Linked DNA regions of Notamacropus eugenii. The protein of the gene in region 4 binds, or shares a complex with, the protein of the main gene of each other region. Links are inferred from orthologs where the notes say so. Each region holds a gene or a part of one and is shown on either strand. Other genes may lie near its edges.

Region 1 (7,437 bases), on a different chromosome or scaffold from region 4:
GATGAAAAGGACAGACCCAAAGTATATTCACTTTGCCATTTTAAAAATGTGTGTGAGGGTTGCAGGGAAAAGGAAGAACAGTTTAGATGTATAAAGAAAACAGGGCTTATCCTCAAAAGACCTGGTGTGAGTTATAGTTCTCTTTCTTTAACCACCTGTCATGACCTTGAGCATCTATCTACTATCTCTGAGGCTCACTTTTTTTCTACTATAAAATAAGAGGTTTGAACTAGACTATCTCCAAAGTCTCTTCCAGCTCTAAATCTTAAAAACCTATGATCAATTCAGCATTGAAACCACATCTATCAATAGTGATTCATAAAAAAGTAGAGGCAGCATATGAATTTAGGACACTGATTCACAAATTATTGCTATAATCTAATAAGAAATTCACAGATTTCTAAAAAGCAGAGTTATCTGTTCAAATTAAGTTTATTCTAATAAAATGTGAAGAGTCATTTGGCACTAAAATGTGAATTATTTATTGATCACATAAGAGCTATGAGAAACTTCTTTTACCTTAGTGGTAAAATTCAGGTAATAAAACATACATACGGATATACACCAGAAAGTTTTTTTCCAAAAAAGAAACATGTCAATATCTCATTTTTTGGTCACATAATCAAAAGCAAGAACAAAAAGGAGTTATTATTTTTCTTCTAGAGGAACTCAAATACTCAAGTAACAATTACCACAATGATTAATATAAATTCTACTAAGCATTTAGCATCACACCATACTACTAAACCATATTTCTGAGATGTATCAACAAATGCTGTCCAAGCAACACTGACTTACACAGTACAATAACAAATGTTATCACAAGAAGACTTCATGAAACTGGTAATATTATTTAATAGCATCAATTGTTTATTTTGCCTGATCTTCAAACCCAGGCTATTTTCTCCTCGAATTTGTAAATAAACCATCATCTAAAGTAACTAAAATTAAACAAACTTTAATTAAAACTAAATGTAATGCAAATTTAAAATAAAAAAGAGCAACAAAATAAAAAGGAAAAACAAAAGCTGTTCTTTGAGAAAACAAGCATTTAGCCACCCAGGAGTTTGGGACATCCCATTATCTCCCTAAAAATCATGTCACCATTCTGCATTAAGTGACAATCAGAAAAGGATTCAGTCAATACAGACAGCCTAGATGTAAATGACAACTGCTAAATTTCCTCCAAATCCTTCCTCCCAGGAACTGAAAGATCCCCATTAACCTTCAGATACATCACACTCCACGTAAAGTGAAAACTTGTAAGCCATTGTACAAATTTCCCACTTAAAAATCACACCAAGTCAGCTCAGGGGTGAAATACCAGTGCTAAAGTTTATGCCCGTGGTTCTCCCCTTTACCCATCTTCCACCACTCAGAAAAGCTTTATTTTTCCCCCCTGTTCTTATTCCCACCAGGAATCTGACTATTGAAACCTCAGGAGAGGCACCTCTAAGCCTTAGTGACTTCATCTTGCCAAAAAACAAAGAACACAAAACACAACAACTCTCAAAAACAAGTCACAAATAAAGTTCCTGGACTGATAAACTGAAATCCTTATGAAAAACATGGAGACCCTATCAAGGTTATTTATTTATGTGCATAAGCTAATAATTTCTTTTATCCAAAAAGGTGCACTTTAACACAAACCAGGCAGTACCGAGTAGTGGGGTAGAAAGCTTGTCTATCTACAGAAAGATTTCATGCTTTAAGGGAAGGAAATGTTTTCGAGTGTGTAACTTGCTCTTTGTTTTCAAAAGTGAATTCTTAATAGACTTTATAAGAAATCTATAATATGTGCTGTGCATATTTTTTTATTCTCTGGGTACTTATCGCTTTTGGTCTTCATGGAGAGTTGCTCAAAACTCCAAGGAAAAATTAAACTCAGAAAAAGAGGTTCCTATTCATAAAAGATTCCTATCTTTTTTTTAAAAAGCCAGTAAACCTGAGCTCAAGCCTCGGACCTAGAGTGACCGATTCAAGACTGCCTCGGACACAGATCGCCAACCTCTCGAGAAGCTAATCAGTTCTCTGAATTGATAGGTATAAGTAAGCAGTGTCAGAGGGAGTTGTCCGTCTGTCCATCCACGCAAGATCGTAGCCCCAGAGCTGAAGGGTGCACAAGGGGGTCCTAACCCTTCCCTGTCATTTCCCAGGGCAGGACGCAGGGAGCTGAGTTCAAGGCTTCGCTCGGGGGATCCGGACAAGTCACTTTCGCCGATCGATGGCTCCGGGGAACTCGCTAAGATCCCAGTTTCCTATAACTCCCAGGTACAGTCGGGGTGGGGGAGGTTCCATTCCAATGAAATCACAGCCCCCCCCCCCAAAATCAGCCGCTTGACGCTCCCCCAGCACCCCAGAGAAACAGGTGCTGCTACCACCCTCGCGGGCCACGGAGGTGATCGATCACTCATGCGGACTGATTGGTTTGGAAGGCGCCGAGCACCGCGCCCGGTATACAGCAGGGTCTAACTCAGTGCTCGTCGCCCGAGTGGGACGCCCCAAGTTTCCGGGGGGCAGGTCGGGATCCCCCCTTTTTTCGGAGACGCCCTCGAACTTCATGGTGGGCGGCCCTGGGCTGGCGGGGGGTTAATCAGTAACCGCGGCCGCCTGCGGAGCGAGGCCGGGGCCCGTGGGAGGCGCTCCCCGAGCCCGCCCGGCGCCGCAGGGCTCCTGGGGGAAGCGGCGGGGCGAGCGCCCGGGCTCCGTGGCCCGACGCGGGGAAGGCCCGTGGGCTCCAAGGTCCGGCTCCGCGCGCCGACCCCTCCGCGGGCGCCTCCTCACCGCAGCCGGCCGCGCTCCGAGGGGCGGGCGGAGGCGGAGGGGGCGGTGCTGCGGCTCGCGCTCCCCGCTCCCTCCCCCGTCCTCCCTGAAGCTGACACTCACCTGACCGAAACCCCCGCGGAGAGGCTCCCCCCCGCCACGAGCCCGCCCGCCGGGGCGCAGGGACCACGGGAGGAAGCCGGATCCGCAGCTGCCCCGGCCGACGCCGCTCCGCTTCTGGCCCAGCTCGGCGCACTGCGCTGGGGGGAGCAGTCGGAGGAGCCGGACACTGCGCCTGCGCCGCGGGGACCGGAGCCGGCGAGAGGGACCCAACTCCCCACCCCGCCCCACCCCGCCCGCACCTGACTCCCCTTTCCCCCTTAAAGTGGAGAGGCAGGACGGCCGGGTCGGTCCGAAGGGCCGGCGCGCCGCGGCGCCCCCTAGCGCCCAGAGGCGTCCCCTGCGCGCGCCCCGGGCACTGCAGGTTCATTGGGCCGCAGGTGTCTGGGGCCGGGGTGGTTTCCCCGGGAACAGTCCCGAGTCGGCGCAGAGCTGCCTTGACTCGGGGCCAGACTCGTCAATGTCACCAGCGTGTTCGAGTCCCAAAAAGCCCCCGAAGGCGCTGGGCAGCTGGAGGACCGGGGCTGCTGGAAAGGGACCTGCCGCGTGGGCTTCTCGGAGTCGGAGGGGACACGCGTGGAAGGGGAAAGTCGATTCATTCCTTCCCACCCCCATCCCTGCCTTTCCAGGAACTGCTTGGAGGAAACTGTGTTGTTTTTAAAAGCGGCTCTTGCCTTGAAGGCTGACTCCCTTAAACTACTACAAGGTGACTGTTCCGAGACTTCCAAATGAGAGAAAAAAAAAATGGAAATTGCGAGAGGGAAAAAAGAAAATAAAAGTAGCCATTAAAAAAAATTCATATATGGGGGTGTGAGTCCCCGAAGGCTCCATCTCAGGTTCACAGATCTAGTAGAAGAGACTCCAGAGGTCACCGAGCTGGCCAAGCTCACATTTAGTTTGCGTGACTAGTATCAATCAATCAGTCAACATTTATTAAGTTCCTACTATGTGCCAGGCACCGTATTAAGAGCAAAGCATACACAGTAATGTGCACAGAGTCATCGATCTAGTGGAAGAAGGGAAGAAAACAAGTATTTATTTGTTATTGTTCTATCAGGTTTTCTTGGCAAAAATACTTGAGTGATTTGCCATTTCCTTCTCCAGATCATTTTACAGATGAGGAAACTGAGGCACATTTGGGTTAAGTGACTTGCCCAGAGTCACACAGCTACTAAGTTTCTAAAGGCAGATTTGAATTCCGGAAGACTCCAAGCCCAGCGCTATATTCAGTGCATGACTACAATGTATCAAGTGCATGACTACAATGTATCAAGTGCTGTACAGATAACTCACTTGATTCTCACAGCAACCTTACTTAGGAGGTAAGTGCTCTTATTATCTCATTTTACAATTAAGGAAATTGATATAGACAAAGGTTAAGTGGCTTGCCCAGGGTCACAGAGCTAATAAGTATCTGAGACCCAATTTGAACACGAGTTTTCTTGACTCCAGGTCCAGTGCTCTATCCGCTGTGCCACCAACCGCCTCCACCAGGAGTTTCTGAGTCAGTCAAGAATGAAGTCAACAAACAGAAGAAAAAGAAAAGAAAGTGATATGATAACTTTATTATATATTTAAAAGGAGTAACAAGTTGTACATAATAGATTTGCAGTTTCATGTACAATCACCTTTTTCCCCCATTCTACTGTGTTATGGAAATGTTTGTTTTATTTAAGTTCAGAATAAAATAAATAGTTTTTTAAAAAGACATACTATGTGCCAGACACTATGCCAAGCACCAGGAGTACACCAGGAAAAAAAATCAATCCCTGTTTAGTCAGAGGCCAGCTAGTCCAACCTCCACATTGTACATTCCATGAGGGATGTGAAGGTTCTGGGCTCAAATTAATTTATGTGACTCATGCATTTATTAAGGATATTATATTGATATAAGATCATACACAGCCAGAAGGGACCTCAGAAGCCAACAAATCCAACCATTTCATCTGACAAGAGGCTTTGGCTCTAGGCTCACATATATCTAATGTGACTCACATGTGTATATATATGCATGACACACTACCTTGAAATGTGATGCAATTCAATTCAAACAACACTTAATAAGCAAACAATAAACTAACAATCAAAAAACATTTATTAAGTACCTACTGTGTGCCAGGTACTGTTCTGAGTACTGAAGATGCAAAGACCAAAATAAATCATTGTGATAGAATTCTCACCCATGAATGTTATATATATTACTGAAAGCATGGTGGGTGTACAGGAAATGGTAAACTTTCCTGTGCAGAGAGTTCTGTCTCCAGGCCACTTAGAACCACCTACCATCAGCATGGCCCATTAGAATGCTATGTGGCAGTGATCCCTCCCCTGCTCTTGGATTGCCAGCAATCTGGTGGTGAGAAACCATGATTCATTTTGTTGTTATTCAAGAACACTTATTAAGTGCCTATTAGGAACAAAGCAATTGATGCCTCTGATCTAGCTGGGACAATGCCCCAAACTAACCAGATGACATTTGTTTTGAACAGGATGACCAGTTAGTGGGGGTTTTGTGACAGAGGGGATTGTTGGTTAAGTGTAAGTTAGAATAACTTGCCTCTGAGTTCCCTTCCACCTCTGAATCTGTAAAAGTTGAAATTTAATACTAACAAATACAGCATCCTGCATTTGAGATCAAAATACAAAATATGGAGGAGGGAGAAAAAAAAAATAAAAACCAAGCCTAAGAAATAGGAAAAAAATACACCAAGGTTTTAGTGGTCTGCAAACTCAGTAAGAGCTAGCAATGTGATGTGCCTGACAAAAGAAGTAATTAGGGTTGAGGCTATGCTAAAAGTCCTCACCCTTTAAGAGAGAAGAGAAAAAGAGGGAGAGGGAAAGAGAAAAAGAGGGAGAGAGAGAGAGAGAGAGTGTGTGTGTGTATGTTTTGGAGTATGGGTGAGGGAGCAGAGCAGAGTTTTAACCAGCTACATATACCATAGAAAATTTTGAGGACCTAGCAATGTTTAGCCAGAAGACTTAAGAGGTACAGAATGATTGACAATATTTGAAGGTCATCTAATAAAAAAAGAAGAAGATTTGGAGGTTTGGGGACCCAGAGGGCAGAGCTAAGACCAGTAAGTAGAAGTTAAAAAAAAAAAAAGACAGATTTCAACCCCATGTAAGGAAAACTGTCCTACATATTAGAATTGACCCAAAGTAGAATAGTCATCCTTTGACATGAGTAACTCACCCATAAATAGAGGTGATTAAGCAGAGACTCAGTGGGTTTGTCTTAGATCAACTCTTAAGTCAGAGATCCTTTGGTTCTGTGAGACTCTGATTAGTTAAACTATGGTTGCACTTTGTAGTTTCCATACACAAACATACTAAAATTCTTAACCCCATGATTGGGGGTGGGGGTGGGAGGGTGGAATGGAACCTGAGGTTTCATTGGTGTGAGGATCTCCTGAAAAGGAAATTCCTTCTACCAAAGCAGACTGACCCTTGTTCTGCAACTTAGTCTTAGGTTGCCTGGGGAGCTGAGAGGGTAGTTCATTCCACTTTTGGACACTGTAATTAGTAAAAGTATAATTTTCCATAACAAAGGCTTAAATAAAGTTGAGTGATTTGCCCAAGTTGAGACTTGAACTCAAATCAGCAACAATACAATATTTTCTTTACTATTCTATGCCAATCTACTGGCCTTAAGATGAAGAAGGGGAAAAAAATGACCTAAGAATCAACAAAACAAGTTGCAAATTGAGTCAGGGGTGGAAAGTATGCTTCTTGAAAGCAGGGATTATTGAACTCTTATCTCTTAGCACAGAACTTGGCTCATAAGGTGATAAATTCTTATTGAACTGAGTTGAATTAGAAATTAGAATTAGAAAATAACATTTCTTTCTCTGTTGTGTTCTTTCTGTTAATTCTGATTGATTTTTTAAAGTTTCTTATAGCTGTTTTGTTCTTTCCTTGTTATAATGTGGCAACAATGATTTTTTGGAAGAGTCTGCAAACTGATATTTTAGTACTAGAAAGAAGGAATACAAATAGAGAAAAGAAGAAAAGCTATTCCCCAAATAGATAAGTGGGCAGCAAGGTGGCATTGTGGATAGAGAGCTGAACCTAGAGTCTGGAAGACTCATTTTCCTGAGTTCAAATCTGATCTCAGATACTTACTAGCTGTATGACCCTGGGCAAGTCACTTGATCCAATGTGCATCAGTTTCCTCATATGCAAAATGAACTGAAGAAGGAAATGGCAAACCACTCCAGTATGTCTGCTAAGAAAAACTCAAATGGGGTCACAAAGAGTTGGATGTGACTGAAATAATTGAACAACAAAATAAATGATCAAAGGATATGAGTAAGCAGTTTTCAAAAGAAGAAATGCAAACTATGCACAATCAGATAAAAATGTTTCCAATCACTGATAGTAAGAGGTATGAAAATTAAAACAAACTGCCTTTGTACCTCACACCCATTAGATGGGCAAAAATGATGAAAAAAAATGGTGGTCATTGGAGTGACTGTGGGAGGGATTCACTTCTGGTGGACATACAAAGTGGACTGAATGATTCTGGAAAGCAATTTGGAACAGTACTCCCAAAGT
Region 2 (7,110 bases), about 74 Mb from region 4:
CGCTCAAAGAACCATGAGATAGATAGCTATATTGTCATGTGTGTACAGTATGTTTCAGACAATAGATATCATAAATATTGTGTTTTTATAGGTAAGGCTGACTTATAAACATCATTACAGTAAGTAAATAGTATTCTGAATAGTTGATATTACATTTTATCTTTAAAAGGATTTCTGCTTAAATTGTGAATATACTTTAATGCCCAATTTAATGCTGATGTATATACAAGAAGCCACCAAAGTATAAAATCCTATCAGAACCACATTTAGGAACTTGTCATTACCCTATAGTTTACAAAACAGTGGGTACAGATAGCCTTCTAATAAAACATATTACTATAAACTAGGTCACATAAGGACCATGATCTTGTGCCATATACATAAATGCAAATATGTATCTGAAAATGATGAGCCTTAAGCTGCGAAAAGGATGGTAACTTAAGAATCACTTTAGACAAGAACTTGTAACAATGTGTAGTTTTCAACTAATGTTGAAAAGCAGACAATGTTTAATGAGAGGTTTTTAAAAAATAAGAAGAATCCTTAAGGTAAACTAAAAATTTAATTACGTCTATCACTATCAAAATCTTAAGAGATTTTTCTGATAGAATCATTCAAATCCCACATCTGCCACTTCCTATCTGTGTGATCATGGTCAGATCACTTTACTGCTCAGTGCCTCAGTATCCTCATCTATATATTAGGTAATAGCACTTGTACAACCTACCTACCTCACAGGTCTGCTATGAGCTAAGTGCGTTGCAAACCTTAAGAGCCTATATACATGTTATTATTATTGATGACTAGTTTAGTCATGGGGAAAAACAATTATGTGGCCTTAGTTTCCCTAGTTGTAAAAGAAAGGGTTAGAATAGATGAGATTGGGCAAGTAATTTAAACTCTCTGGGCCTCAGTTTCCTCATCTATAAAATAAGGGAGTCACTCTAGATGGTCTCTGAGGTTCCTTCCAGCTCTGGATCTACAATATGCCATGATTATCTCTTGTTGGAAAGAAGCCCTGTGAGGAGGCCCTGAGTTGAAGAGAAGAGGAAGGAGTGACAGGCAGGAGGAGGCATCCCACCCAGCAGTAGCAACATCACTGCAGGCTGTGGCTGCCAAGCCAAAAGGCTGCTTGCTGACTGTACAGAGCCCTTGAGCTTCCTGCCTGGTAGCTCAGGCAGAGGGAGTTTGCCTGAGGTTCCAGAGGTAGCTGGTTCAAACTCAGCCTTTCCTTCCAACGCTAATCATCTGTTAATTTGTGCATTTAGTAATTAAATAGTTCAAAGGAGTATAGGCAGAAAATCAATTGGAGGTAGGGAAAAATAATTCTACTTTTCTTGGCTCTAAATAAAAAACCCCATTATTTAGAAAAATTCCTAACCACACATTTTAAAATAACTGTTCAAAACTAGAAGCTACTAATATGTCCTTCGCAGTTACAGGATTTTATAGGTCCTTATGTATTACCTCAACCCCCCTCCCCCAAAAACCCAGCTATAAGTTCAGGTTTTTGATTAAGGTTGGCCCCTCTAACTTTATGTCCAAGATTGCTCTAGGCTAAAGTTGATAAAATTATCCTTACTAGATCTAGAAGATATTTTACCGTATTTGTGGGAGAGTGACACAAAAACAAAATTTTAAAGGGGGGGAGGGGGAAAAAGATTCAAAGAAATATGATCAGAGATAAAGGACACTACAGTGTGGAAGGGGAAAAAACCCTCCCAACGCTATTATCTTTGTCCATACATTTCAAGATTGCCCAATATTTAATGTAAACAGATATACTAGTGACATTATTTGTTCATGATGGAAAATCAAAAAGATAAATTTTCAGATGAAATAAAAACACATGGGAGGCACATAGTCAAGGACATACAAACAATTACCTAAATCAGAGAAATGTTGGATTATATTACCTGTTCTGCACCATAAACCGTAGCAAATTGAACAAACTCTTCTATACGGACAAAACCATCCCCATCTCTGTCTAGGGCATCAAACACAGCTCTGAGGCGAGGGCCATCTTCCTGACACCCGGAAGGCTCATTTGGAATTGGTTCAGTCTGGTTGAAATCAGAGGGTTGGCCCAGGTTATTCTGAACTATATCTAATTTCAGATCACACAAAGTGGAAGTAGTGAAAGAGGGAAAGAAGTTTATTTCATTACTAATTTGGTAACTATGATTTAAATCCTCCGCACTTAACGAAACACTTTTCTGGCATCTTCCGGGCACATAATCCTCTGGCTCTTTAGTCCAGGAAAAAACTGGATCAAGTCCTGAGAGCTGGGTTTTGGTGTCCGGGGGAGCAGCCTGGTCCATGCCTAAGTAAAAATCTCTTTGATCCTGAAGAATGTTATCCCTTTCTCCAAGGCGGTTTTCCGTACATGATTCCTGCTCCCTAAATTCCATGCTCAATTGTAAATCCTGCGGAGGTGACCGAGGTGGGCCCAATTCCAGAGCATAGAGGTCCTCCTGCTCCTGCTCGTCAGAACCTGTTAACCGGTCGGAGACTTCGGGATCCTGCCCCAAGGTAAGAGCTGTATTAAAATCCTCTTCAGACGAATCGTTAACCACACCTAGCAAAGACATCTGCTTGTCACTGACAGATAAATCCCGGTCGGGGTCCGCGACAGGAGTATGGGTCTCTTGGTCCAAAAGACAGAGGTCCGGATTTTCTAACCGATACAAATAGTTGATGGGTCCTTCAGAAAATAAGTCCTGGCGGAGCTTCACCTCCCCCAAAACTTGCTGGAAAGCCACAGACCCCTTTTCCTGCAGAACAGGCCCTAAAAGCACCGAGGGCTGCGGGGGGGTCTCTGGAGGAAGCAGCACCAGATCGGGACCAGGCACCTGCCCCCGGGATTCCTCCGACACTTTCTCCAGGTCCATGAGGAAGTATTTCCCTTTCTGCTCCGGGAACAGGTCCCCGAACGTCAGCAGGGAGTCCGACGTGGTCCCGGCCGATGCGGACAGAGTCACGAATAAATCCGGCTCCATTTTCATGGGAAGGAGACTGGCCGGGGAGGCCAACGACGGCGAAGCAGCCCCCACCCCGCCCCCACCCCTCAGGGCCGAGGCCGGGCTGCGGCCCGCGACGGCGGGGCTGCGCGGCGGGTGATTCCCTGCGGCTCGGGCCGCAGACAAAAGAGCTCCTCAGACACCGCGGGAGGAGGAGGAGGAGGAGGAGGAGGAGGACGGGCGGCGGCCGCCGAGAGCATCACTGCATCCGTGCGGGCGCCGCTGCCCTGCGGGCACCCCCAGACCCTCCAGCGCCCGGACCAGGCGAAGCCGCGGCTGGGGCCGTCGGGCCCCCGCATCCATCTTGACCACCGACGCCCCTCATCTCTCCGCACACACCGGGAGCGGCGGGGGGGGCCCCATGGCGGCTGGGAAGAGGCCCACGACGAGGGGAGGGAGGGATGGGGTCGCGCTGGGGAGCGGTGGGGGGGCCCGCGAGCCTAAGGAGAGAGCCCACCGCCCTGGCCGCTCTGTTCTCGGGTTCGATCCCCGAAGCTGAGGGGGCGGAGGGTAGCCTGAAGAGTCGGGAGGCAGCTGAGCTCGAGCCCTTAGCCCCGCCCCTTCTCCCGGCCGCGTGGCGTCAACACGTTCATGAGCGTCTGGATTGGCCCCGCCCCCTCCGAGATGACTATAAAAGAGCGGCGCGGCGGTCTGACTAGGCCCCGCTGCGGCGGGCGCCGGCAGGGGTGGGTGTGCTGCGAGGAAACGTGGGAGTTTGGAACTGGCTCCCTCCTCACGCCCCAGGCTCTTTGTCTCCGCCTCCTCGAAAAAGGAGGTTGGAGTGTGGGAATGGGGCTGCTCCAGGTGCCAAGCCGCGGGAACGTACTGGTGGGCCCTGTGGCTCTCCTCCCTCTGGGGGAGGGCGAGGGGGAAGTTAGAACTGCGGGGCCGCCGCTGCCGAGGCGGTGACGTCACCTGATTGCCTTGTGCTGGGGTGAGCGGAGGTGGTGCTGAAGGATGGGGCGATCTGGGACCGCACCGGTTCCCAGCCTCCTCCCCCACACCCCGCGGGAGCCTGGGTGCCGTCCTAGTCCTCAAGGAGAGGCCACCTTCACCATAAAGTGGCTGAGGGTGTGCGGCGCGGCGCGGCTTCGATGCCCAGGACCGCCCGGACGGCCGGAGCGTCCGTGGTCCTCTTGCCTCTCGTAGTGGCCATCCCTCCGGGATTCTCGCCTTAAATGAGGGGCTCCCTCCCGACTGGGAGGACCTCTGAAGTCCGCGCCCGCTTAGAGGGGAGGGGAGGGGGGCCGGGGCGGCCCCACCACAGACACACCCCATTCTGCCCTTGCCCCGGGGGAGCCGCCCCGCATTCCTCTCTCTCCATCCCTCCCTCCCTCTCCCCTCCGCCCAGGGCCGGGCTGGGGAACAGAAGCTCTTTTGGCTCGACCTCCCGGGAGCCGGTAGTGGCCAAGGTCTGGCTCCCGGGAACCTGCGGCGATGCATCCGACTTCTGACCGCGGGCTGTCCGAGCACTCACCCTTGACAAGTTCCTAAAGCGCTTGCCCACGGAGGAAGGCAACAGGGGGCTAGAAACTGTCCCAGAAACGAAGAACTGGGGATGCGCCTTGCGCATAGTGGGTGCTTGATTCAGTGTCTCTTAAAGACCTGGCAGGAGGGGAAGTGTTTTGTCTGGGTTGTTCTGTTTTTCCTGAGGAATGGACAGGATTTATTAGATTGGTTTAACCACGGCTTTTCCCACAATTGTAATAAGCGGGGGGCGGGTAGTACAGGGATTCTCCCCGTTGTACAGATGAGGGGAAAGGCTCAGAAAGGGGCAAAGTGATTTGTCTATCTACCAGTAAGTGGACAGCCTGCCAGACTGCAACCCCACCCTAGAGTTCTTCCCACCAGACAAGAGACAGGACTGTCTTTTGCCTCTTTTTGTAACTCCAGCGCGAGCGCCTGGAACATAGTAGGCACGTAATATTAAATAGAAGGATTCGACTTCTGCTTAGTCCCAAAAGTCAGACCTAGTAATAATAAGTCTAAGTCCTATGCAGGTAAATTTTGATGCGAATTAAGGACAACCTTCCTAATAGAACTGTGTTTTAAAAAATGGAATGTGCTGCCTCATGAGGTAGTGTGTCTCCCATTTGCAGAGCTCTTCAAGCCAAGCGCACATAAAGTTGTTGAAGAAATGATTTGTTCAGCCTTTGGAGATAACCTGGGAGGATCTTTTCCAGCTCTGAGATGCTGCCGTTGTTTTGTGGTTTTATTTGATCCTCTCTACAGCCTTGTGGGGTAGACTGGGTAGAGAGCATTATCCCCATTTTACGATTGAAAGTAAAGCACGGAGGGTAAATGACTTGCCCCAAGATCACAGAGCTAGGAAACAGCAGAGCTCATAATTCAATCTAGGTCTTCTGACACCAATTCCAAAGCCCTTTTCACTACAACAATGAAAGAGTGTAGTTGGATAACCACAGCGTATTGTACTGGTCCTGGATGAACATGAAGAATGACAAAATCCCTAACCAGCAGAATTTCAATCCCTATTAACCTGTGAAAACATTTAAGATAGCGTTTGGGTTGCATGGCAGTTGACAGTCTCTCACGTTTTAGAGGCAAACAGGTAGGTGTTAGAGAATAGAGAAAAGGGGTCGTGACAGCTTCAGGAAGGGTGACAAATTAGCATATGGCAGAATTTATGATGAATATAATTATGAACTGTTATCTTACCACAGAAGAGTATCAGAGTTGACAATGGGCCAAAGAATAGGTTACTTCATCCTGTCTCTGTGTGTAGCCCTGATAATTAACTGACTCATCTCCAAACCTTCAATCACAGGAGGACTACAGAACAGAGTGTGTAGTGTGTGTGTGTGTGTGTGTGTGTGTGTGTAATTTTAGGAGGTAAAAGAAGAAAAACCCTCAGAACTATTTTCTAAGTTGTAAGAGCCAAGTCCTGAAACAAGTGAATTATTGTGTTCAAGGGAGATAAAGACCTGCTTCTGATTTCAACAGGAATTTGAAAATAGACTCCTGACTTTAGCCGATCAGTTTTTCACATGAGTTTTATGTCAACCTTACTCAATAGAAGGGTGGTGTTAATGTGGATGAGACAATAGTTAGAATTCCTCCGGCCAGATAAAGAAAGGTTTCTTGCCTAAGAGCTCTGTAGAAGGTGGAAAGCTGGTTTGGTGTGTAAATGTGCCCTATTGTTTCAGAATCTCGGGACTGAAAGGGACCAGAGGGCATCTAATCCAATCTGAACCTGAACAAGAATCTCTTCTACAGTGTACCAAAAGAATACTTCTCTGGTTGCTAAAACTATTTTGTTGACTGACTCAAGTGCTGAAGTTTAAAATCATAACAATAAAAACAAGCATTTTTCTGCTTAGTTAAAAAAAAAATCTACCTCAAACAGAAAACTAAAATAACAGTTCACTCTAAATGAATCATTTTAGTAGCATGTTGTAATCAGGTTTTCAATTTATTGCATTCTAAACTAAATTAAATTAACTAAGTCTTGCCAGCAACCAGTAGCAGAAAATCCTTTACTACCCTTTTGGCAAGAATCATTCTCTCTTTTAGAAGTAGAATAATTGAGACGTGGGAGAAGGTAGCCAGGAAGTCTTGATCATGCTCCACCTACTTTTGGAAGCTTTTTCAGATTTTCTTCCCCTCCTTTCCACACACTTACCCCAGTAAATGGGATGGGGGCTGGGTGAAGTCTGATGGGTTTTCCTTCTGGAATTAATTACAGGTTTATCTTCCCTCCCAATAGAACCTAAGCTCCTATGACAGATAATTTCCTTTTTGTGTTAGCATCTCCTTGCCTAGTAGGGTGTCTTGGGCATTAATGGCCCTTAGGAAGTATTTGAATTGGAGTTGGGAACCTGACAGGTTTTATGGCCTGACAGCATATATGAATGTTTGTTTTTTAAATCAACCTGTGAAATTCTACTTTTGAAAGATTGTGGGAAAGCTCTCTCCTTTTGTGTTTATTGAGCAGACTAAACTAAAACTAAAACTTTTACAGAAAGCTTTTTCCAATCCCTCTTAATTTTACCAGTTGAAAAAGACTGTGTCTCCCCCTCCTCCCTCACACACACCCTTTGCTATAGCCTGTCTCCTCAATGTCCTTGAA
Region 3 (7,923 bases), on a different chromosome or scaffold from region 4:
AAAGATGAGAAATTCTCCAACTTGATAGTTTATACCGGAAAACATTTTTTTCCAAATAAAATGTTTTGATAGAAGTTTTAGGTGTGTGCGTACTAGCAACCCAGATATTTATTTCATCATTTTTTATTTCATTTTTATCTCATCATTATTTTCTTTGTAGGAAAAAAGGTTTCCAAAACAGAAAACTTAATAGTTTTAGCCAAACAAATAGCATCCTGACTCAACAGGAGAAATTGTATAGTTTCTACCATTCATTGTAATATGACTTGATCCATGCATAAATTGCAAATCCCCAAAACTAGAACTACCCCTTTCTGCATTTTATGTTTTCCCTCTATCAGGAAAGGTTCCTCTCTACTAAGACCTACATAAATCTAAAGAAATGTTCTATTAAAATAACTTTAATAGTCCAATGCCAAAATTAACATATTACCTTACCATCATCTCCATTTCTTATAATAGTATATTGCTTCCTTTCCTGTAATCCCTGTCCATCATTTCCATATTTCTTTGATATTTCCAACTTCTGATGAATTCCCGCTTGGGCCTTGTCCTCCAGCTGATGCCCCCCTCACAAAACTGCTATTCGTTAAGCCTTTATTTCTGGAAATCTTCCTAATATTTCCACAGTTACGCACTGTCACTAATACTCTTCCAACTGTCTGCCTGCAGTTGAGGAAAGTGGTCCGTTTATAACACTAGAGACCCAAAGAAGGTCAAAAACATAATAGAAGTGAATATGAGCCATAAAGTTCAAATACCAGCTAAGGCCCAATTCCCAAAATACAACCAAATAGTTAAATTTATTTTAACACAAAGGTATTTAGGAGAAAGTAGCCAGTGAGGACTTCAGGTTTCTAATTAAGTTTACATAGGCTAAAAGCTGGTGTTCAAATTTAGGATTATGATAACGTACATATTAAAAGGCTTTTGAATTTACAATCTAACCTTGAAAATCATGAGACTAGATGTAATAATTAAAACCTTCAAAATTTCAATGATACTGGTAAGATTTTTCTCTCACATAAATGACTAGGCACAGGTGGATCAGAGAAATTTACACAGCCAAAGTCTTTATTTGAAATGCCTTATTAACAAGGTGGATTTCTTGTTGAAGAGTCCCATTTCAATTGTAATGAACATCTGTAGGAGATGCACTGAGTAACCAAGGCTATGTATAGATAGAATTACTTATGCCAGAGCTATTCTTAAATGAGTCCTAGAATTTTTAAAATCTGAATTCACACAGTAGGGGGAAGGTAACGTTAGTTTTGTGAAATATCCCTTATTAACGCTTTATACCAAAGTTCTCTCATAGCAGAAAAATGACAATGGGTATGCCATTAATAAATGGGTGGGTTTGACCCAGGCTGGAAAGCTCTGTGTCAGGGAGAAGTCAACAGACTGAATGTCTGATGTATGAGGACCAGCCTAGCTAAAGGAGGGAAGAGTCTGGCCACAAAGTGATCCATTTATTTTGACCAGAAGAACACATGAAGACAGAACATTTGTGATCCTCTTCACTGAGCGATGTACTCACATGGATGAAATCAGAGAACCTGGAAGTATTTGGTGAAGTAAAGAAGAACAATATAAGCTTGGAATCACAAAGTCATTGGATTCTATTGACTATGCCAAGGTTATAGAGATAAATGATGGTAGAAGCAGGCCTACAATCCAGGTTTTCTGTTCAACAGAGAGTACTTTCCACCTCACCTTTCTAGACGCTGGCCTCACTATCTCTACACCCACAGATTTGTCATCAAAGATTCTGTTGTAAATAAACTTAAAAGCACTGAGATCCTCAGTGTTGAAAAACAGCAACCACAGCCAGGCAAGAGTGGGAACAAAGGAGGCCCCCAGGTGTTAGAAGAGTCTTCAAGAAGGTAATGCAACATTCTGAAACATGAAAGATTACAAAACAGAAAAGAATACATCCTTACACATTCAGTGAGCTCAGAAGGATCTGCCCTCAATGAATGGCCATGAAAACAGACATGTAGGAGTTAAGGGGATATACACCCAGGCTGCAAACTTCAGTAGCAAAAGAGACCCCTTTAATAAGAGTAGGAGAAATAACTACCTCAGTCAGGAATCCTGGAATCCTGGAATCTTAAGAGTTAGGAAAACCCTTGAGGGTTCAACCCAGGGCAAGAATCTGCAGATATCCTGACAAGTGATCACCCTGGTACATGGATGGATCGGGCAGGGACTAACACTTAATGCCCCAATCCAGCCCGGTCTAGCACTGGTAAGCCAAAAGGCGAAAAGCTGCTGAAAAACACAACAAACCAAAAACCAGCAGAGAAGGCAAAACAAACAGCGCCAGGAGAACCGCTCTTGGGGCGCCCCTGCCTGCCCAAGGACCCTTCATTCTAAGGTCATTGCTTGGAAGCATTTTGAAGGGTCCCTCAGTCAATACGCAGACGATCCTTTAGAAGCCTAAAGCAATCAAGCGGAAAGGAAGGGGTCAGGGCGGGGGCCGAGCCCCTCACTCCCCCCCCCCCCAGGAGAAAGGCCTCCTGCCTCCAGCAGCGTCTCGCGGCGGATCTGTCGGTTCGCACGCCGCGCACCCACGAGGGAAGGCGCTCTCGGAGGCCCTCCGCGGACCCACGGACCGTGCCCCCAAAGGGCGTGCCAGGCCAGGGGGGAGAGCCAAAGGGATGCTCTGGGCCCTCCGGCGAGGAGGCCCGGGCACCGGAAGGGTGGCGCTCCTCCGGTGCCCCCCCAACGCCCAAGCCGTGACAGCTGTCTCGGGCGGACGGACGGACGGACGGGCATCCCGCTCCCGCCGGCAGAGGCTGGCATCTGGGTCGGCCGCCCGGGCGGCTCCGTCATCGCCCTCCATCCCCGCCCGCTCCCCGGGATGCTGCCCCGGCCGGGCCGTTACCTTGGTGTAGAGCTCGGACGCGGCCATGGCGCCGGCGCCGCCCGCTCGGGCCTCGTCCCCCCGCCGATGCCCCGCACGCCCCCCGGGCCGCCGGCGCTTCTGTCGGGTCTGCAGAGGCCGGGTCCCGCATGGGCCGCGGGGCAGGGCGCGGATTCAGGCGGCGGGCCGCGAGCGCTCGGCCATCCCCGGCGGGCGAAGGTCCCGGAGCTGTCCGCACGCCTCGGGATGCTGGGGCCGCTGGGGCCGCGGCTGCTGCTGCTGCTGCTCCTGCTGCTGCTGCCGCCGCCGCTTCTGCCGCCGCCGCTTCTGCCGCCGCCGCCGCCGCCGCCGCCCTGTGCATTGTGGGAGCGGGAGGAGGCAGCGCTGCCTCCGCCGCCGCTCCAGGAACTCCTGGGCTCACGCTGCCGCCCATCGGCTGCGGGCGCGGCCGGAGCATCCTCGGGGGCCAGGCGGCCCGGCGGAGCCCGGCCCTGCCCTGCCCGCGTGCCGCGCGCCTGCCCGCCTCCCCTCCACCGGGCGAGGCACACCCGGGCCAGCGGTATTTGTCTGTATTTGGCAAGCCAGCCCGGGATGGCAGGCCTGGGGTCTGCGCGGGGCGCCTAGGGCGGGGGTCGGAGATCAGGCAGGGCCTCTGCAGGGTCCCTGCCCGTGCCTGGCACGTAGTGGGCACCTCCTGAAGGCTGGTGGAGGGAGCCCTGGCAGTGGGTACTGCGGCTGGCACCGGGTGACCCAGTTCTCAGCCGGACTCCCCCTCGTGCCCTGGGCACGCAGCCCACCTCCTGAACTGTCTCCGTGTCTGTGTGTGACTCCCAAGGGTCACGGACCGCAGGGATCCGACGAAGCCTCTGTCCTGCTCCGCTGGGGCTGCGGGTGAGCGCAGTAAGGTGACTTGTCCAGGGCGTCTGCAGCGCTGCACGCGCGCTCCAGGAGTGGGTGCGCTTCCCCCCGCTCTGGAAGCCCCTTTTTACCACTCTCCGCTTTTCTTGACTCATTCTTAAATTGGTGTGATTGTTTTTCGTCTCGTCCACCCCATTCATTTGACGCACAGAGAAGCCAAGCCCCAGAAGGTGAAACACGTGCCCCAGGTTGTTGTGTGCGGTTCTGTTTGTCCTTCCTTTTCAGAGAGGACCATGACATCAGGAAGATGGTGGCAAGATTTGACTTTGATTTGAGTGAGGAAGGCTGTGCAAGGTCACCAGCCTCCCTTTCTCCTCCTGGGTCATCCGGGTCCAGTGGGCAGATATTCATCAGGACGACTGGGGATGGCCCAGGATGCAGTCGGATACCCTGGAGACACTGACCCTTTTAGGCTAAAGCCTTTTCAGGTTCTCATTTTGAGAAGTAAGTCAAGGGATGGCCCCTTTAATTAAAAAAAATCAAACTGGGAGGGGAAGACCCTCGGGGTTTCTCCTCAAAAGAGAAACAGTTACTATGGATATTTACTAATAAGGGTTTCCAATATAGCCGTCAAGTGGTACTTGGGCAGGAATCTGTTGTGGTCCAATATATGAGCTCCAGAGTGAAATGGATTTAAGGTTTGGTCTTTGAGAAAAGAAAGAGAAAAGGAAGGAAGGAAGGAACAAAGGAAGGAAGGAAGGAACGAAGGAAGGAAGGAAGGAACGAAGGAAGGAAGGAAGGAAGGAAGGAAGGAAGGAAGGAAGGGAGGGAGGGAGGGAGGAAGGAGTGTGTGGTGGGGACATGGCTAACACTGAAAGCTCAGGAACTCAGCTTGTGTACGGAGGATAAGGAAGAAGGTGAACAACTGACTCATAATGGCGGCCCAGAAACTGCTATTCTTGCACTTTAGGCCACTAGGACAATTTTTAGGAAATGGGGGATGGCAGAGGTAATAGTGTATGTGTGGAATAGGGAAAGAGACTTACATTTCACTCTATATGGAGCATACGGTGAGAAACTTCCTCTACAAGTTAAAGTCAACACCTTCTGTATTTCTGATCTTCTTAGAGAGTTGCCTAAGAGGTGAAGTGACTTACCCAAGTTCACAGTCAGTAGGTTTCAGAGGGGAGATTTGAACTCAGATCTTCCTTAACTCAAGACCTGTTCTGTATGTACTAATTAATTACTCTGCTTCTCAGGAGATCTCAAAATAATCTTGGTTTTGCCACCAATTAGCAACTCTATGCCTCATTCTCTATAATTGTAAAATGAGAAGTTTAGATTACATGATTTCACAGACTCTTCACCTCTAAAATTCTATGATCTGATGGTATAGGCTCTGGGAGCCTCCCTGAACTCTCCTAGAAATCTTCTTACTTAATCTGATGTTTGCCTGAGGCCTTAACCTAGCCCAGCCCTCCACAGTCGGTTATCTCCTGATTGCTTGCAGCTACTTCCCACTACTTCCCACCCTCTATCCTATCAAATTCCCATTCTCTTGGTTCCTGGGGTCCTACCTCTACTTACCCCATGCCATAAAACTGAATTGCTTCCATTTGAATTGTTTTAGGAAGATTCTGAAGATCACCTGGCAGGATAAGGTACCAGACACTGAGGTCCTTACTCAAACTAAACTGCCAAACATTCAAACTATACTTCAGAGAGTGTCTCCGATGGGCTGGCCACATTGTTCAAATGCAATATGTTGGCTTGCCAAGAAGACTTTTAACATGGTAGTCGGAAGAAGCGATACAAGGATACTCTCAAGGTCTCTCTCAAGAACTTTGGAATTGATAATGTGACATGGGAGACACTGGCACAGGACTGCTCGGCTTGGTGTGCCCAAATAAGAGAAGGTGCTGTGCTCTATGAGCAAAGCAGAATTGAAATAGCTCAAAGGAAATGTAGGATGCACAAATTTGGAGTATCTACCTCAGATGTTCACTTGGACTATCTGTGCGCAATCTATGGTAGAGCATTCCGAACTCTTGGTCTGATCAGCCACAGTCATACACACTGAAACTTGACTTTATCATGGTGATGTCATTTTGGTCCTCTTCAAGAAAGAACAACAACCTCACCCCAGTCTACAGACCACTCCCTTCAAGACCCTCCCTGGATCCCTCCTCCAGTTACCCCAGACTACTTGACCACCCCTAGATCCCTCCCCCAATCTTTCTGTATATAAGATCCATCTTGCCTCCATGAAAATGCTCAGATTCAATCAACTCAGATTCCGTCTAGCTCAGATTCTACCTAGCCCGCTTATCAATACAAGCTCACAAATGCTGAGATTCCTTAAGAGTCTATCCAATATGGTATGTCTTAAATAAACTTTGTTTTTCTTTGGCTGAAAGAAGCCTTCCATAGAATTCATTCAGGCAGGTCCTGGCATGTCAGTATTTTGTGAGCACCCCTAAATCTCAACAGATAGAGCTCCCAGTGTGAAGTTAGGAAGACTTACCTTCCTGAGTTCGAATCTGGCCTCAGATGCTTATTAGCTGTCTGACTCTGAACAAATCACTTAACTCTACTTGCCTCAGTTTCCTCAACTGTAAAATAAACTGGAGAAGGAAATGGCAAACCACTCCAGTATCTTTGCAAGGAAAACTCCAAATGGGGTCATGAAGAGTAGGACATGACTGAAACAACTGAACAATAAGTCCAACACTTGCATTTTATAAATGGAGAAATTAAGTTCCACCAAGGTTTTGTCTTGCACAGATTCACACAGCTAGCTGGTGGAAGACCTTGAAATGGAACCCAGGTTTTTTGGCTCACAATTTCTTTTTTTTCTCTATATCTTATGACCTCTACTTAACCTACTCTGTGGATTATTTTCCTGATCTGTCAAATCATACCTACCTTCTAGGATTGCCTTGGGGATCAAATGAAATCATAAGAAAGTGCTTTGAAAAAGTTTCAGATATTATACAGATATATGGGATATTTTAAAGGGGGGGGGGGGCGACAAACTGCATAATGTCTTTTCTCACCTATACATACCCCCAAATGCTAAGGGAATGTTTTGAGTAAAAGGAAGGACATGGAAATGGGAAGAAAAAGAAAAAGAGAGAAGATGAAGGATAGATCAGGACAAAAAAGGAAGGAAATCAGAGAACACTGCATTTGTTCACAAGTAGGATTGTTGTTGGTTTTGTGTCCATCCTTTGTTGCCGAAGAATCAGAGAAATGATGACATGACTTGCACTTGATTTTGTTTTGAATGAGGGAGGGCTGTGCAGGTCACCAGCCTCTCTTCTCCTCCAGAGAATCTGAGTCATTTGAATCCAGTGAGCAGATATTCCTCAGGATGACTGGAGATGACCCAGAATGCAATCGGAAGACCTTGGGCCCTTTAGGTCAAGGTCTTTGCAGGTACTCACTTGGGGTGAGGTAAAGCCCATTCATTGTTTAAGAAGTAGCCAGGGCATGGCACCTTTAATGAGTCCAAGAAAAAGAAAGACATCGCAAGTAGGACATCAGAATTAAAGTCACCAAACATAAACTAGATCAGTTACCTCTCCCTTACTTAATAAACCCATGGGTATTCAGACAGATATATTTACATACCTTTTCATTTGTAAATGATGAGCACTCAATTACCTATATATCAAAACTATTATAAAGCAGTTATTGTCAGTTCAACTATTGGGGCTTCGCCTCCCCCACCAAAGGCTAAGGGGGGTGGGCAATATTATTCAATGTAATGAACCTCCCAACCCTGTTCCAGGTCCAGGACTTCCAAATAATGCTAATCTCATCTTGGAACTTCCCTCAGAGGCGAGGGCCACCTGGCCCTGGGACATCCAACTAGCCCAGATGCCTTCTTGAATGGAAAATCTGAGTGAGATCCATTGGTGAGATTGGAAGTATGATTCAATGTAATGTCTCTCTCCCTGGTGTCTGGTCTTCAAAATCATCCCCTTGGGGCAGCTAGGTGGAACAGTGAATAGAGCACAGGCCCTGGAATCAGGAGGGCCTGAGTTCAAATCCAGCTTCAGACATTTGATACTTCCTAACTGTGTGACCTTGGGCAAGTCGCTTAACCCCAACTGCCTTGCCTTCCCCAAATCCCCAAACTATCCTTTCTCTTTCCATCTGCCCCCTTTCCATTCCACTCTCAGCTTTGCAGC
Region 4 (7,948 bases):
ATTGTCTCAAAGATATTTGTTTTATCCTTAAGACACATTTTGCTTGTGGTCCTTAATGGATTTTTCCCCATGTGTATCCATGAGTTTCCATTTATAGGAAAATGTTTTATAGTCATGCTCTGGGAACTTATTAAGATTGTATAATAGGAAGGGTCTTTGGAGATAATCGAGTCCAGCCCTCTCATTTTACAGTTAAACAAAATGAAGTCCAGGAAAGTTAAGTAACGTATTCAAGGAAACACAAGTAGTAAATATCAGAAATAGAACTTGAGATCAGACTAACTTCAGAGCAGGTACTACTGTACAGTGTTGCCTGGACTTTGTATTTTCTGATTAGAGTTGAGTTAGATTGGATTTTTTTCCCCTATTTTTATTATATAAGATAGATATTGGGGAGATGTCTAATATATAAATATATAGATATGGGCTACAGTTGGCATAGGTAGATATATGGAATCTGGCTCACCTCTGAAGAAAGGAGGCTGTGCCTGCACTGTCCACAGTCTAGTTGGGTGTGTGGGGTAAAGAACAGGTAGGATTCAGGATCATTGAGTCTAGGTGAATTCTTCTCTCTCTGAGAGGGGTATCAAATCTTTGATCCTCTTTGAAAATGAAGGATGGACAATAATATGCTAGAATTATATCTGCTACTACTCAAGTAGTTTGGGGGTATTAGTCTGGGTTTAGAATAAAAGCTGCCAGCCCTGATGGCTTTCACTGGGGGAGGGTAGCCACTCACTCATACTCACTAGTTTTACTCCCACCAAATACTAGTTACACAAAAGTCCATCTTGAACCTTTTTGTCAAAGAAAGCAGCCAATTGGGGAAATGATACAGATAAGAATAAACAAAGAATCCTTGAGGGTCAAAGAGCTCTTCAATAGGGAAGGACACAAGGTTTCAACAAAAGCAAAGCCAGAGGGAAAAATCTTACCATGGTAATGTCCTCTATGGGGGTGCAAACACAGGAAATCAAGAGACACAGTGACGGGGGCAACTTCCCCATATAGCTGAGGCCCAGGAACTCGAGTGATTCATTCTAAAGTCCCTGCCTTGCCTGGTCTCTGTCAAAGTAGAAGTCCTCTGTTGAAGTCTCTATCCAACCCACTGAAATAAGTCCCTTATAGATACAAAAGATGAGCCCAATTTTCTCCCAGAATTCACATCCTCTAAAAGGTACATAGTGCAGATCATGAGACTGTCCATTGGAAAACCACTCAACTTGCTTCGGTGGGAGTGAATATTATAGTTATATTTCCTGTCTGTCAATTACTTAACATCAATTGCTTAAGTATCCACCTAGTAAGGCCCCCTCATACTTGGCACTGGCAAAGTAAAGGGAGACAGGGATGGAATCGAGGTGAAGACTAACTCTTCTTCTCAGGAAGCTGACATCAAAATTGAGGTGATAAGACTCACTTGGAATAATTTAAGGACCTTTTATAACACGTTATGCAAAAGAAGGAAATTAATAGAGTACGTCAAACCCCTAGGTACATGAGTACGATTCTTCACTCTGTTTCCTTTGGCCCTCTAAAAGGAAAGAGTTGGGTAACTTGTGAAAAGGGGGGCAACTAGATGGTACAAAGGACAGAGCACTGCTGTGCTTAGAATCGGGGAAGATCTAAATTCAGCTCTACCTCAGACACTTACTAGCTATGTGACCCTGGGCAAGTCACTTAACTCTGTTTGCCTCAGTTTCCTCATCTGTAAAATGAGATAGAGAAGGAGATGTCAAAACACTCAAGTATCTTTGCAAAGAAAACCCCAAATGGGGTCCCAAAGAGTTGGACATGACTGAAAAACAACAATGCTTGCGAAGGATCATAGAAGAGGGGACTGTGGAGATCATCTCATCCAATTTCTTCATGATCCATGTGAACTAACTGAGCCTCAAAGAAGTGGAACGACTTGCTCAGGTAATATCATTATCTAGGTAATAAGAAGCAGAAAAAGGTTTTGATGACAAAAGCGATGACTCTAAATCTAATGTCTTTTGTATTATCCTGTGCTGTTTCCTTTCAGCTTATGCTATTTCTGCCCAAGAGATGAGTGATCCTGAAATCATTGAAGAAAGAATAACACCCATTGATCTTAAAGAGCGAGTTCCCAGAGTAGTGTTAGAAAGTATTTTTCTTTCAGGAGCTATTGATCCCTAGAGAAAAGACAAAGCACGGGTCTGGTTATTGATTAAAAGCCCCTCATCAACACTCTATTGCCTAAAGAGTAAGTTCCAAATTCATTGCTTGGCATTTGAAGCCCTTCACACTTTACCTTTTTTACCTTTACAACTTTGTTTTACCTTATTCCTCTTTCAGATCTTCTGGGCTCCACAGTGCTCCCCTCTCCTACACTTTACCCTTTTGTTCAGTTGTTTTTCAATTGTCTGACACTCTGTGACCTCATTTAGGGTTTTCTTAGCAAAGATATTGGAGTGGTTTACCATTTCCTTTTCTGGCTCATTATATAGTTGAGGAAACTGAGGCAAACAGAGTTAAATGACTTGCCCAGGGTTGCACAGTAAGTATCTGAGGCCAGATATGAACTCAGGAAGAGGAGTGTTCCTGACTCCATGCCTGGCACTCTGTGCACTATGGCATCACCTAGCTGCCTATGCACTGTATTGTCCTACACTCCACTGCTGGTCTATGCTCCAGCCAAACAGGACCAGTCACTGAGCTTCATAAATACCCCGTACTTTTCTGTCCCTGTTCACATTTTTCTCTAGTCCTAGAAAGCCCTCCTCCCCTATTTTATTCTCTTGAATTTTTCTGCATCCTTTAAAACCCAACTAAAAGCCATTTCATCCAGTCAGCTATTGCTGAAATTCCCAGACTGCTAACAATCTCCTCCACACCCACTCCTTGGACCTCTTTGTACTTCTCTTATGTACATATAATAGTGTATACTATTGTTTTGTATATGTGTGTCATTTCCCACAATTTGGGATACAAACTCCACAAAAACAGAATTCACATCTTTAATGCCTACCTCAATGCTTAACACAGTTGTTGTTGTCCTTTGTCCTTCATTCAATGACATCAGGAGGGTGATATCTTGACTTGCAAGTGACCTGGATTTAAATGAAGCAGGGCTGTGCAAAATCAGCCTCACTCTCTCCTCCAGTCATCAGAGTCGAGTGGCAAGACATAAGACAAGTTGACTGGCGATGCCCCCAGATGCAGCGGAGACCATGACCTTTTTAAGCTAAGGTCTTTCTCAGGTCTCAGTTTCTCTGAGGCAACATCTACTTAGTAATTTAAGGCTCAGTGAGAATTGAGGCAAAAGATGGTTTAGTTCAGGGGTGGGGAACCCGTGATCTGAGTCTAAGTTTTACAGAACAAACCTTTAATTAAGGGGATTTGTTCTGTGAAGTTTGGATTCAGTCAAAGGACCTTGAAGTTGCAGGTTCCCCACCCCTGGTCTAGTTTGACTTGATCTGGAAGAGGAACACTCTCAAAGTTTCTGGCCAGAACAGAAACAATTGTTATTTTGCTGGCCCTCTGAGCCATAAAATCTAAACAATGAGTAAGTGAGGCTTGGGCTGGAACCTGTTATTGGCCAGTCAGTGAGAGACAGGGTGATTGGATTTTAAAGTCTCAGTCAAGTATTTCCATTTGAATACCAATGGGTTTTATCAAAGTCTGGTTTGTCAAAGCTATATTTCTAGAAAACATAAAGGAAAACTACATTAAAAAAGAGTTAATTGTCCCAAATTAATGGGAAAAAATAATAGAATAAATAAATAAATGGAGAAGAAAAAGATCTAGCCCCCTCGAAACGTAAGTGAAAAAAACTGCATAAAAGGCTCCTCATGTGCACAGAGGGAGGAAGGGGGGGATGAGGAGAGAAATGGCAGCATATTTTATCTTCATACCTACCTCAATGCTTAATGTTGCTATTGATTGTCCTTAATTCTCAAATAGGACCAATGTGTGTGTGTGTGTGTGTGTGTGTGTGTGTGTGTGTGTGTGTGTTCGTCCTTCATTGCTGAAGAAGACCATGCTATCAGAGAAATAATGACATGACTTGCACTTGAGTTTGTTTTGAGTGAGGGAGGGCTGTGCAGGTCACCAGCCTCACTTCTCCTCCAGAGCCATCTGAATCCAATGATCAGATATTCATCAGGATGACTGGAGATGACCCAGGATGAGGCAATTGGGGTTAAGTGACTTGCCCAAAGTCACACAGCTAGTGAGTGTCAAGTGTCTGAGGTGAGATTTGAACTCAGGTCCTCCTGACTCCTGCACTGGTGCTCTATCCACTGCACTACCTAGCTGCCCTAATAGGACCAATGACATCAGGAGGGTGATGTATATGAATTGGATTTAAGCGAAGCAGGGCTGCTCAAAGTCATTGGCCTCACTGTCTCCTCCAGGGTCATCAGAATTTAGAGTCAAGACATAGGTCTGGATGACTGGTGATGGACTCGGGCTTAACACCGTGCTTTCCACATATAAGTCCTGAATCAATGTGCGTTGAGTTAATATCTGTGGGAGACTGGCTCAAATCCAACATGTCATTCACTTCAAAGGAGGCAGAGAGCATGAAAGACACCTATATTAGTACAATGAGATTGGTGGAGTTACCTAACACTATTGTTTTAATTGTACTGTTCATGGTCATCAACCAGTAATTATTGAAAATCAAGATTGTCCAGCCATGAAACAAAACAGTGCTTTGTCTCAGGGCTGATGTTGATTTGGCATTGGCGAGGAAAAGTAGCTGTTACTCCCGAGTGAGGAAAGGGAAGATTTTTCCTTCTTGATTATTGGCTTTGTGGCTGATTGATGTGGCTGCAGTTTTTCCACTTTCCTTCTCAAATCAGGCCCTTCATGCACATGCCTTTTAAATTTGCAATCAAGCAATCATAGGCACAACATATATGTACGTATGTATATATTTGTATGTATAGGGTTGATTGGGATATGAAGATCCAGAATAAAACACAAATTTTATTTTTGTGATACAATTGAGTCTCTGCAATGTCTTTTACCCTAAAAGGTTTGGAGTCAGCAAGGAACTCAGAAGAAAGGGAATAATAACAATAATGTTTTTAATGGGGGCAGAGCCAAGAAGGCAAAGAAAAGGAATGAACTTGCCTGAGCTCTCCCACATTCCCTTCCAAACAACTTTAAACCAATGCCTCAAAAATAATTCTGGAGCCACAGAATCAACAAAAGGATGGGGTGAAACAATTTTCCAGCCTAAGACAATTTAGAAGGTTGGCAGAAAATCTCTGTCACTTGGGAGTGAGAGTGGAGTACAGGTCAGGCAATGACCCTGGCAAGTCAGCAGCTGTCCTTGGCGGCAACTGAATAAGCAGCAGCAGCTTCCAGAACTCTCGGCCCACAGATGGTAAGGGGGCCAGACAACTGGCCAGAAGGAGATTATGAGGGTACCCTTGCTGACACTGTATACAGGACTTGGTTGCATTGCCCATACATGAATCCAGGTCATAGTCCTGGATTGTAGTCCCAGGGCAAGGAGGAGCCACTTCTGCTGCTACGGGGGAGTTGGGTCATAGTTCCAAGTTGGAAGAGAGTGCTGTGGTCACTCACAGCCTAGGTAAACGCACCTCTCCTTAGATCATACCACCTTGGTAGAACTAAAAACTTACAGACCCCAAGAACTAGCTCTGAAAATGACTGCACAAAAAAACCCCAAAGCATGAAACAGTGCCCCCTCCACCCTAGGATCAGAACCCAACTTTGGCATAAAGTTAAACGTCAATAAATAGGTTGGAAAAATGAGTAAACAGCAGCAACAAAATGACCTGACCATAAAAAGTTACTCTGGTGACAGCGAAGACCAAAACACAAACTCAGAAGATGATAAAGTCAAAACTGCTGCATCTGAAGCCTCAATGAAAAATATGAATTGATCTCAGCTCTACCTTCCCCCACGCAGAATTCCTGGAACAGCTCTAAAACGTTTTTTAAAAATCAGAGAGGTAGAGGAAAAATTGGGAAAAGAAATGAGAGTGATACAAGAAAATCATGAAAAAAGAATCAACAGCTTGGTAAAGAGACACAAACACACACAAAAAACTCTGAAGAAAATAATACCTTAAAAATAAAACAGACCAAATGATAAAAGAGGCACAAGAATCCACTGAAAAGAACACCTTAAAAAGAAGAATTAGCCAAATGGAGAAAAGATGTTCAAAAATTCATTGAAGAAAAGAAAAAAATGGATATTTAATGAAATAGAGGACTTTCAAGCATTCCTGATGAAAACACTAAAGCTGAATAGAAAATTTGGTTTTCAAATACAAGACTCAAGAGAACCATAAGGCAAAGAGGAAAGAGAAATCATGAGAGAGAGAGAGAGAGGAATTGAGAGAGGCAGAGACAAAGACAGTGAGAGACAGAGAGATTGAGTGAGAGGGATTGAAAGAGGTCAAGACAAAGAGAAAGAAAGAGAGACAGATAATAAGAAACAGAGACTGGGAGAAAAAGACAGGGTTTGAGAGAGAGGAACTAAGAGACAGAGACAAAGAAAGAAAGAGAGAGACAGAGAGTGAGAGAGAGACAGAGAGATTGAGAGAGAGTTTGAGAGACAGAGACTAAGAAAGACAGAATAAGAGAGAGACAGAGAAACTTAGAGAAGGAAAATGCATTAGGTACAGTTCTTAGTAACAAGAGCTCACTCTTCAGGGCCCAATTTTTTGCAGTTCTTACGCTGAAGGGAATTAATATCACTAGACCTATTGAAAAACAATCCAAAATATCACTATATGAGTATGTTATTTTGGATTGGGCTATGTTTCTCTAAGGTTTTTACATAATGCTGAGCAAAAGGTGACTTGGTAACACAGGATCCAACCTGTGGGAAGGAGAAGGGGGAAAGGGATGCTTCTTCCCCTTTGCCTTTGTGACTGGTACCTGGTCACCAAGGACTCCCTTTCCTCTCCATCCTTATTCCTAGAATACCAGCAGCAGCCCCTCTTTCTCCCTCCAGCCCAAGACAGTTTGCCTACATCACGTCCATGTTTGGGAGCGTACAATATGTGGGACACCTGAAAACAGCAATCTTTGTGGCAATGGAAGTGACGTGTGTATATTCCAGTCTCCCCAACAGGCACCTCAGAGTCTTTGTTCCCCTCTGAATTGAATTTGCCCTGGTTCCTTGAATTTCAAGTTATGACTCTGGACCTTAGAAAGAGTTTTATCATCAGACTCATATTGACAGGTCCGATCCTATCTTATGAAACAGGCAAATATGCACTTTGGCTTCTTTCTAGAGGCAGGTAGGTGGTACAGTGGAGAGTTAGGATGCTGGACCTAGAGTGAGGAAGACAAGTCACATCTAATCTCAGACACTTACTATGTGGCACTGGGCAAGTCACTTAATTTCTGTCTTCCTCAGTTTTCTTAACTGTAACATGGGGATGATAATGATACCTACCTTACAGGGCTGTCATGAAGATCAAATGTGATAACATTTATGAAGTGCTTAGAACAATGACTGTCACACTGTAGGCACTTAAAAATGTCAATTCTACCTTTTATTTTCTCCTTCATTATGCCCCAAAATCCTGTCAATCTTCAATCTCCATCATCTTTCTGCTGCTGGCTGACCAGAGGAGGCTCACACTGAGGTAGCAACAAGATGGGATGGTGAAAAGAACACTGGACCTTGAAGATAGGGGGCACTTGAGTTGAAATCCCAGATCTGGCCCATAGTAGCTGTGTGACCAAGGGCAAGTCACTTTATCTCAGAGACTCTACTTATGAAATGGGTATAATAATATTAAAATCATCAGCTGCATAGAGAATAGAAGAGGGAAGCATTTTATAAATGTTAACACATTATATAAATGTGAAGTATGACTCGTATCTCTGGAATCAACACACACAGTCTTGACTTTCCCCTGGCAGCCCCAGTCAAGGGTGGAACCAGTATCTGAGGGCTGTGGAATCTTTTAGAGATATCGCTCAAATC

Evidence for each region.
Region 1: the proteins of RAB11A (region 4) and RAB3IP are in contact, whole or in part, in a crystal structure (PDB 4UJ5), measured with the Homo sapiens proteins. The link is inferred for Notamacropus eugenii from reciprocal best matches to the Homo sapiens genes RAB11A and RAB3IP. Residues at the interface, in NP_004654.1 of Homo sapiens: Phe36, Leu38, Glu39, Asp127, Leu128, Arg129, His130, Leu131, Arg132, Ala133, Pro135, Thr136, Leu156; in NP_783322.1 of Homo sapiens: Asn367, Thr368, Leu369, Ser370, Ile371, Glu372, Pro373, Asp412, Arg424, Thr428, Cys431, Asn432, Thr435, Tyr439, Leu444, Val445, Lys446, Gln447, Gln448.
Region 2: the proteins of RAB11A (region 4) and RAB11FIP3 are in contact, whole or in part, in a crystal structure (PDB 2HV8), measured with the Homo sapiens proteins. The link is inferred for Notamacropus eugenii from reciprocal best matches to the Homo sapiens genes RAB11A and RAB11FIP3. Residues at the interface, in NP_004654.1 of Homo sapiens: Arg33, Ile44, Gly45, Val46, Glu47, Phe48, Ala49, Thr50, Trp65, Arg72, Arg74, Ala75, Ile76, Ala79, Tyr80, Arg82; in NP_055515.1 of Homo sapiens: Asn731, Phe732, Gln735, Ile738, Asp739, Arg740, Ile742, Val743, Met746, Glu747, Pro750, Ser751, Leu753, Glu754, Val755, Lys756.
Region 3: the proteins of RAB11A (region 4) and MYO5A are in contact, whole or in part, in a crystal structure (PDB 5JCZ), measured with the Homo sapiens proteins. The link is inferred for Notamacropus eugenii from reciprocal best matches to the Homo sapiens genes RAB11A and MYO5A. Residues at the interface, in NP_004654.1 of Homo sapiens: Arg33, Glu35, Ile44, Gly45, Val46, Glu47, Phe48, Ala49, Thr50, Gln63, Trp65, Gln70, Tyr73, Ala75, Ile76, Ala79, Arg82; in NP_001369276.1 of Homo sapiens: Ile1660, Gln1661, Trp1738, Met1742, Arg1745, Tyr1746, Ser1749, Gln1750, Glu1753, Arg1756, Gln1777, Gln1780, Val1781, Lys1782, Lys1784, Met1795, Glu1818.

Annotation. Positions count from the first base shown.
Region 1 is NC_092874.1:247,281,517-247,288,953, reverse strand, and holds the start of RAB3IP (rab-3A-interacting protein), read right to left. Parts: upstream 3,014-7,437; 5' UTR 2,887-3,013; intron 1-2,886. UniProt on the Homo sapiens protein: Guanine nucleotide exchange factor (GEF) which may activate RAB8A and RAB8B. Promotes the exchange of GDP to GTP, converting inactive GDP-bound Rab proteins into their active GTP-bound form.
Region 2 is NC_092872.1:54,402,594-54,409,703, forward strand, and holds the start of RAB11FIP3 (rab11 family-interacting protein 3), read right to left. Parts: upstream 3,006-7,110; coding exon 1,917-3,005; intron 1-1,916. UniProt on the Homo sapiens protein: Downstream effector molecule for Rab11 GTPase which is involved in endocytic trafficking, cytokinesis and intracellular ciliogenesis by participating in membrane delivery. Recruited by Rab11 to endosomes where it links Rab11 to dynein motor complex.
Region 3 is NC_092878.1:381,268-389,190, reverse strand, and holds the start of MYO5A (unconventional myosin-Va), read right to left. Parts: upstream 3,014-7,923; 5' UTR 2,918-3,013; coding exon 2,891-2,917; intron 1-2,890. UniProt on the Homo sapiens protein: Processive actin-based motor that can move in large steps approximating the 36-nm pseudo-repeat of the actin filament. Can hydrolyze ATP in the presence of actin, which is essential for its function as a motor protein. Involved in melanosome transport.
Region 4 is NC_092872.1:128,251,814-128,259,761, reverse strand, and holds the start of RAB11A (ras-related protein Rab-11A), read right to left. Parts: upstream 3,009-7,948; 5' UTR 2,993-3,008; intron 1-2,992. UniProt on the Homo sapiens protein: The small GTPases Rab are key regulators of intracellular membrane trafficking, from the formation of transport vesicles to their fusion with membranes.